Linked DNA regions of Oryctolagus cuniculus. The protein of the gene in region 2 purifies or fractionates together with the protein of the main gene of each other region. This does not show direct contact. Links are inferred from orthologs where the notes say so. Each region holds a gene or a part of one and is shown on either strand. Other genes may lie near its edges.

Region 1 (3,812 bases), on a different chromosome or scaffold from region 2:
ATACTGTTCCATCTCAGCATCAAATGGGACTCTGTTTACCTGGTAACGCTGAAGAACCTAGGTCAACTGAAATGGGGCCCATCTGGGAATTAACCAGGCAGTTTAACCTAACTGCTGCACAGGCTATCTATCAGGTGCAAACCACCAGGCGGCTCTGATTACTCACTGTGCATTTTAGAAGTGCTTTCGAGCGTTTGACACAGCTAATTTCTTACCTCTACAGCAGACAAAAAGTCTAGGTTACAAGTTGATCGTGCTTAGTCCCTAAAAGTCTTCATTCAAATCAGAATTCAGTGTTCCTTCAAGACTGTATGCAGAAGCGACCTAAGTGCACTGTCTAAAGCAAAGACCTGAAATCTTCTGTTAAGTAGTGATTAATACTATTTACCTGCTACCCAGTCATGAGGCATGAGTTCTGTTGGACTTAATATTAATCCCACAGTCGGGTACCAGATGAGAATTGATACTTGGCTATGATATTTAGGTTACAGAGCCTTTACATATGAAGAGACAATCACATCAACTGCTGAAACTCAGGCAGTAGTGCTAGGTTTTCTGTACCACAGATACGTCCTTCATGGACAGCTGGATCACACAACTCTTTCTAGACTCACATCATGTTACTCAACATCCTGAATTGTGAACTACCATGCTGATCCCAGGGAGAAAGCTATTATCCACTGCAGGCCAATAAAAGTATCAGAAATATAATCCCATCAATTAGTATGTTGTCAGGGACAACACTCAAATCTCTTGGGTTTAGAAGAGTAAAAACAGCAGCCTCCCGAAGGTCGCCATTCTGAAACCTGACAACACATTCAGTGACACTGCTTATTTTGGCCATTGCACGTCACCATTTTATCGGTAAACTGGTTATTCTTTTGAGGTGTGTTTCAGCACATTAATCACTGTAATGGCTAAGAACACAGTCAACACTAACAGCATGAGAGTAGCAACTCTAAAGAACTAAGCTACAGGTTCTCCAACCCTGCACAGCTGCTTTCTTTCCCGCAAATCCGAGGCTGATGTACTGTAGTTAGGAGGAGCACGTGAGTGAGGTCTTACCTTGCAGGTGCAGTGGCTGTGGGCTGCTGCCCATAGGCTGGGTAAGCAGGCTGAGTGCCATATGCAGACTGAGCTGCATAGGAGGCCTGGGTGGTGGTGACTGTAGCAGTGGTGGTATCATAAGCACCAGTGCCATACCCCTGGACAGGCTGGCTGTATGCCTGGGGGGCAGTTGGAGTAGTATAACCTAGAACAAAGGAGAGTTTTGTCACATTTTGGGATCTCTCAGAGATCTGCCAGACATTTACAGTCTGAAAACCATCTCCTTCAAGGCATCATGAAATTTTCTCTTAAAACATTTTCCATTAAGAGCAACAACAAACCACTATTTAAAGCCGAAGATCTCCCAAAGTAACGTTTTTTTTTTTTAGCAAAATAACATCTCACTTGCTCTGATTTCGTATATAATAGGAGAATGAGTAGCTAGAGGAAAGTGCTGCTAAAGAAAAAGGGTTCCTTCTGCACTGTCTTGAAGATATTCAGTAACAGCCAAGTCTGCTGTTAATGATCCTGTGATCCTGCCAGCAGGCCTTCCTGTTAAGTTTCTCAATTAGCAAACTTAAGTACTCCCTAAAATCCTCAAGCAACAACAATGTTCCCCAAAAGGAGGCAAATGTCAAATTTTGTGGCAATTAAAAATTGCCAAAAAATAATGATCCAGGTACTAGGTTTAATATTGTAGCCTGGGTAAGTAATTAAATTTTTTTCAGTCCCAAACACTGCACCATGAATAGCTCATGTTTAAGGAAACAAAAATCTAGAGAACATGCATTTAATTTCCTGTGGGAGCAGTTAACAATTGATTGAACACTCTCACGAACTGATTTTGTTTCAGAAAACAACCAGAACAAATGCTGTTATTAACACTAAGGTTTTAAATGGCATATAAATAATAGAAATGCTATAATTACATTTGCTTAACACACACAGGTTACCCTATTTAAGTTTTGTGGCAAATTATTTTTAATTAAACTTAATACTGCCCTAAACAAACCTTTAAAAGGTAACATCCTTGACATAAAACTCTTGAGATCTTAGATCTTGGCTGATTACCAAGTTACCCAGCTCCATTCCTCTCTTAACTTACCTACCACAGGCAGAGGGGCCCTGTTCCTGCTCAGCAATATCAAAGGCAGACTCTACAGACCCACCTCCCCTTTAGGATCTCTTTAAGAATCACAAAGACCTGTTCTCACAGGTGTGCTGCACACCAAGACGGAGCCCCTCCCCAGCTCCTGCCTCTGCCAGATCAGGCAGGAGCCATGTGTTTTCCTGTGGGACTTGGGCTTGGAGCATGAGCAAAACTCAAAGCCAGCAGTTTCTGAGTCCCTTTCTTATAAAAGGTGCCATAACTTTTCCTGGTACTGAGAGTTTTGTCTTCCTCTTGGTTAACAGCACAAATAGAAGCCATGCAATACAAAGTTTGGTCTAGATGTCAGCATTTATATCCATCAAAGAAAAATTCAAATCTCATTAAAAAAGATTTTTTTAAATGATGTATTTATTTATTTGAAATCAAAGTTATAAAGAGAGGGGTCAGCGCTATGGCATAGCAGGTAAACCCACTGCTTGTGGCACTGGCATCCCATATGAATGCTGGTTCAAGTCCTGGCTGCTCCACTTCCCATCCAGCACCCTGTTAAGGCACCTAGAAAAACAGTGGAAGATGGCCAAGCACATGGGAAACCCAAAAAAGACCCTGGCCCTGGCTTCTGCCTGGCCAAGCCCTAGCTGTTGTGGCCATTTGGGGAGTGAATAAATGAATCTTAAAAAAAGAAAGGAAGTTTAGGGCCTTAAACTTTTGTTAGAATAAACATGTCCTTACTAACTGTATTAAGCCAAAACAAATAAACTTTAATTTTTTGTATAATCAAAATTGTTGGCTGGCACTGTGGCATAGTGGGTTAAGTATCCCATGTAAGCACAAGTTCAAATCCTAGCTATTCCACCTTTTTTGTTTTATTATTATTATTTTTTATTTTTTTGACAGGCAGAGTGGACAGTGAGAGAGACAGAGAGAAAGGTCTTCCTTTGCCGTTGGTTCACCCTCCAATGGCCGCTGCGGCCGGCACACCGCGCTGATCCGAAGGCAGGAGCCAGGTGCTTCTCCTGGTCTCCCATGGGGTGCAGGGCCCAAGCACTTGGGCCATCCTCCACTGCACTCCCGGGCCACAGCAGAGAGCTGGCCTGGAAGAGGGGCAACCGGGACAGAATCTGGCGCCCTGACCGGGACTAGAACCCGGTATGCAGGCGCCGCAAGGCAGAGGATTAGCCTAGTGAGCCGCAGCGCTGGCCCTAGCTATTCCACTTTTAATTCAGTTCTCTAACACGCCTGGAAAGGCATCAAAAGATGGCCCAAGTGCTTGGGTTCTTGCTACCCATGTGGGAGACATAGACAACAGTCCTGGCTTTGGCAAGGCCCAGCCCCAGCCACTGCAGGCATTGCAGGGGAGTGAACCACCAGATGAAATATCTGTTTCTCCCTCTCTGTAACTCTGCCTCAAATAATCAATCTTCAAAATAAGTGGCATCTTTTCTAACTATAATATTTTCTTTTCCACCCCAAACATTTGAAAATTCTTAAATTAATTATACAGAGGCCATAATTTTCCTTTTTGAAACTGTCAGGTTGGGGGCTGGTACGACGCAGAGTTGGGCTGCTGCCTGTGACGCCAGCAATCCCTGTGAGTTTGAGTCCTAGCCAGCAATCCCTGAGTTTGAGTCCTAGCTGCTCCACTTCCAATCCA
Region 2 (3,580 bases):
TCAGCTGCATGGGAGACCAGAATGGAGTTCCTGACTCCCAGATTTGGCTCCAGTCATTGTGGGCATTTGGGGGCGTGAATTAGCAGATGGGAGCCCTCGCTCTCTGTGTCTCTCAAGAAGAAGGAGAAGGGGAAAGGGAAGAGAAAGAGGAGGAAGAGAAGGAGAGGGAGAAGGGGGAGGAGAGGGAAGAGGAGGGAAGATGGATGAGGGGGAGGAGGAGAAGGGGGCGGGAGAGGAGGAGGTGGGGGAACAGCTGAAACCAAACCCAAATCCGAACACTCCAGCAGCCTGACCAAGCACTCGGCAAGTCCATCCCACAGGGATTCCTCCCCAAAGGCGGGATGTCCTCCGACAGGTCTCTGGGCTGCTGGGTGCTCCCAGGCTGTCTGTCCGTGGCCTCCCTTTCTGGAGCATTCTAGGGGAGCACCTGAGCTTCTGCCCCAGCTCCAGGCTCTTCTCACCGGGACCCTGACGGTGCGCAGGGGAGATACTCACAGCCCAGCCCCGATTTCCCTGGCTGTGACACAGGGTGCTGCTTCTCCCTTAGGCTCCCACTGCCCTCCCGCTCTGAGCCCCAGGAACGCACGACTTCCCATCGCTTCGTTCTCATGTGTGTTTATTGGGCGCTCACAGAGTCTGTGGTCCTATGCTCAGGGTTCGGAGCCACGGTCTAGTGCAAAGACGACCAGAGCTAGTACAGAGAACGTTTCAGAGCTGCTTAACATCTGGTAAGGGGCAGGGGAGGGGCAACTAATCACAAAACAAAGTCCTATTCGAAAGCAACAGAATCTCCTCTGAGAGTAATATATGTTCTACGCACACGCACGCACGCACGCACGCGCACGCACACGACCCTCCGGAGAATACCCACTTGGTCGTATATGCATGCATATACAGGCGTCTGTGGGTAGATAAACTAGTGTAGATGCTGTAGGCACGCACACGCACGCACACACCACCGCACAGACAGATAATCTGGCTTATGCTATCAAAGACACCAAGTCTCCAGGTTCTAGTGGGAGCAATCTGTCCTAGATGCCTGCAGCATGCAAAGAGTCACAGTTAAGGAGGACAAGGGGGGATACACGGGTTCTTTTCCAGCTTCGGGGCCCCGGCCACAGCACATGAGGTTGCTCTTTCTTGGCGCCAGCAAAGCCTTCGTGAGGGGCTCCCGGGGCAGAGCGGACGAGCCCAGGGCCCTCTGTCCGTGGCCGGGCCCCCAATCTTCAAGGCAGAGTTGCTAACTCTGGTTTTCGAGTGTGTAGTCCTGCTAACAGGATTCCTTAGGACAGCGCGGCAGATGGAAGTGAGAGGTTTTTTTTTTCTCGCTCGCTCTCTGCGGCTTCCCACATGTGCTAACGCATTTTGTAGTCATTAGATACAGATGTTTCACACAGCTGTCCCTTAAAATCCAGGTCTACTGTGAAATCGAGGTCTCGCTGCAAAGAGAGAGAGAGAGAGAGCAAAGAGGCCCAGCGTTAGTCTGGGCCGGTGCTCACAGCCCCTCCCTGGCCTTGGGCTGCCTCGCAGTGCCCCGGGGATGGGTAGCCCTAGTTTCCTCAAGGTTTCCTAGCAAAGAAGTTCCCCGGAACAGCCCTCAGGAATCTGGCGCCTCATTATCCTCACAGGAAGTTTTTTTGATGCCTAACCTAAATTCTTCCTGTTCTAAAATAAAAATATTCCCTCTGACGTCATCCTGGGGTTCTAGAATCTTCCACAGCACAACCTTCTGAGTACTCGGTAGATGTTTAGTGCACGTGTCCACAGCCAGGGTTGCTCACAGAGAATCAGATTTGTCTTCAGTCCACCAGGACTGCTGAAGACAGGCCAAATATCCTCTAGGGCACCACAGACTCCTAGCTCCTGGCCTTGCTCGTCCTAAATGAGGTAGACGCCTCCCACACAGCAACCTCCGCTCTCAAGCTCTCTGATTGCAGAGCTGGAAGCTGTCCCCAAGGCTGAGAGGTCACAGCAGACTACTGAGTCTTTAGGGGCCAGGGCTGCAGGCTCTGAACTACGCCTGGTCACATCCACACATGGCCACCGCCTGTCTTCCCCAGTGACTTCTCTGACTATGTGCAAGACCCTCAAGAACCTGGGCAGGTGGGCCCTGGAGCTCCACGGGCCCCTTCTCCTTGCTGGCCCCGGCCACACAGAGGCTGGCTGCCTTGGTACTCACCACATTTTTGGCGTTTGGCTTCATGGTTATGGTCCCGTAGATCTCCTCCCCTCTCCGGACAGTGAGGTAGTCTTCCAAGTAGAAGACGGTCTGCTTCCAGTGGGTGTAGGGGGCATCGGGGGCTGGAGGTGAAGGACGGGACAGGTGAGAGGGAAGAGTCAGAGAAGAAGTCTCCAGAAAGAGGAGGCTGGGATCCCACGTAGGAGTGCAGGCTTCCCAGGGGACTCGGTGGAGCCACCGAACCCAACGCTCTTGTTGAGTAGGGGGAAGCTTCCAGACCCCACCAGAACTTTCCACTCAGTCCCGCTGCCCTCTCTTTCCACCAGATTTCCATCCACTCGAGACTGCGGACCAACACTCGGGCTCAGAGGAGAAACCAACTCCATACCAAGGAGCGATGACGAATGCCTCCAGCCAACCTCAGTAGCACAGATGAACTCCTGAAATGGCACTGTTCCACAGGGTGAAGACTTTTACACAGTGCGGGGGAGAGGTTGGCAGAGCAGCCCGTCCTGTCTCCCCTTAAACGACAGCTTTGTGCAAATTCCACAGCTACACCACTTCCCTCAGCTCCTCCGTTTGCCCATGAACTTGCTGCTGCATCCGACAAACGGCTTTCCCTGCCCGCGGCTCTGGGCCCTGAACTGAACGAGCACGTTGGCCCAGGCCTGCTGTGAGGTTCCAACCGTGCTTTCCTAACTGGGTCAGAAGAGATGAAGGAGGATTCTCGAGGCACCAGTGCCGGCCCCCAGCTTGGTCACCAAAGCCACGACGATGCTTGCACTTCTGCATTTGCCCCAGTGAGCCCCACCCACCAGCTCTGCGCACTTTGTATCTTCCCCCAGCTAAGTGTGCGTGCTCCTGCCTTAGGGGTCGTCTTTTCCTGCCTCAGGGGCCGTCTTCCCCATCCTCTGCAGCAGCTGGCTTTGGAACACTCCCCCTCGCTCCTTCACCAGCCTCTCTGCTCCTCCTCACTCAAGGTCATTTCCTCTGGGAAACCTCGTTCAATTACCCAAACCTGGAGGAGGGGCCCCCAGAGAATCCTGAGCTTGTGTGAGAACGGTGTCTAGCACACTGGGGATGCTTTTGCCTCCGCCCCCCCAGTTGTTTGCTTCCTCTACAGGGCTGCAGCCTCCGTGAGGCCAGAGCTCCCCAGGAGCAGATACCTTACGCTGCTTCACTGTACCCATCAAATGTTCAGTTACATTGGGATCGTCAATGGGTCACCTACAGACTGGAGAAGAACCCCTGAGGGGGAAAGTTCTTCATACTGCGGTATCTTTCCTTCCTCCACCAGGACTGCCTCTTTGCTCAGCACCAGTGCTCACAATGAGAAGACTTGGGGAGAATACAATATAAAACTGTCACACAGAAAGGCTTACAGGCGTCTTCTATATGGCT

Evidence for each region.
Region 1: the proteins of PRMT8 (region 2) and EWSR1 purify together in Homo sapiens (affinity purification with mass spectrometry; 3 studies listed by BioGRID and IntAct, counting the BioPlex papers as one, with this or other methods). This does not show direct contact. The link is inferred for Oryctolagus cuniculus from reciprocal best matches to the Homo sapiens genes PRMT8 and EWSR1.

The regions. Positions count from the first base shown.
Region 1 is NC_091452.1:22,698,130-22,701,941, reverse strand, and holds part of EWSR1 (RNA-binding protein EWS), read right to left. Parts: intron 1,253-3,812; coding exon 1,066-1,252; intron 1-1,065. UniProt on the Homo sapiens protein: Binds to ssRNA containing the consensus sequence 5'-AGGUAA-3'. Might normally function as a transcriptional repressor. EWS-fusion-proteins (EFPS) may play a role in the tumorigenic process.
Region 2 is NC_091440.1:105,798,078-105,801,657, forward strand, and holds the end of PRMT8 (protein arginine N-methyltransferase 8), read right to left. Parts: intron 2,302-3,580; coding exon 2,180-2,301; intron 1,440-2,179; coding exon 1,356-1,439; 3' UTR 600-1,355; downstream 1-599. UniProt on the Homo sapiens protein: S-adenosyl-L-methionine-dependent and membrane-associated arginine methyltransferase that can both catalyze the formation of omega-N monomethylarginine (MMA) and asymmetrical dimethylarginine (aDMA) in proteins such as NIFK, myelin basic protein, histone H4, H2A and H2A/H2B dimer.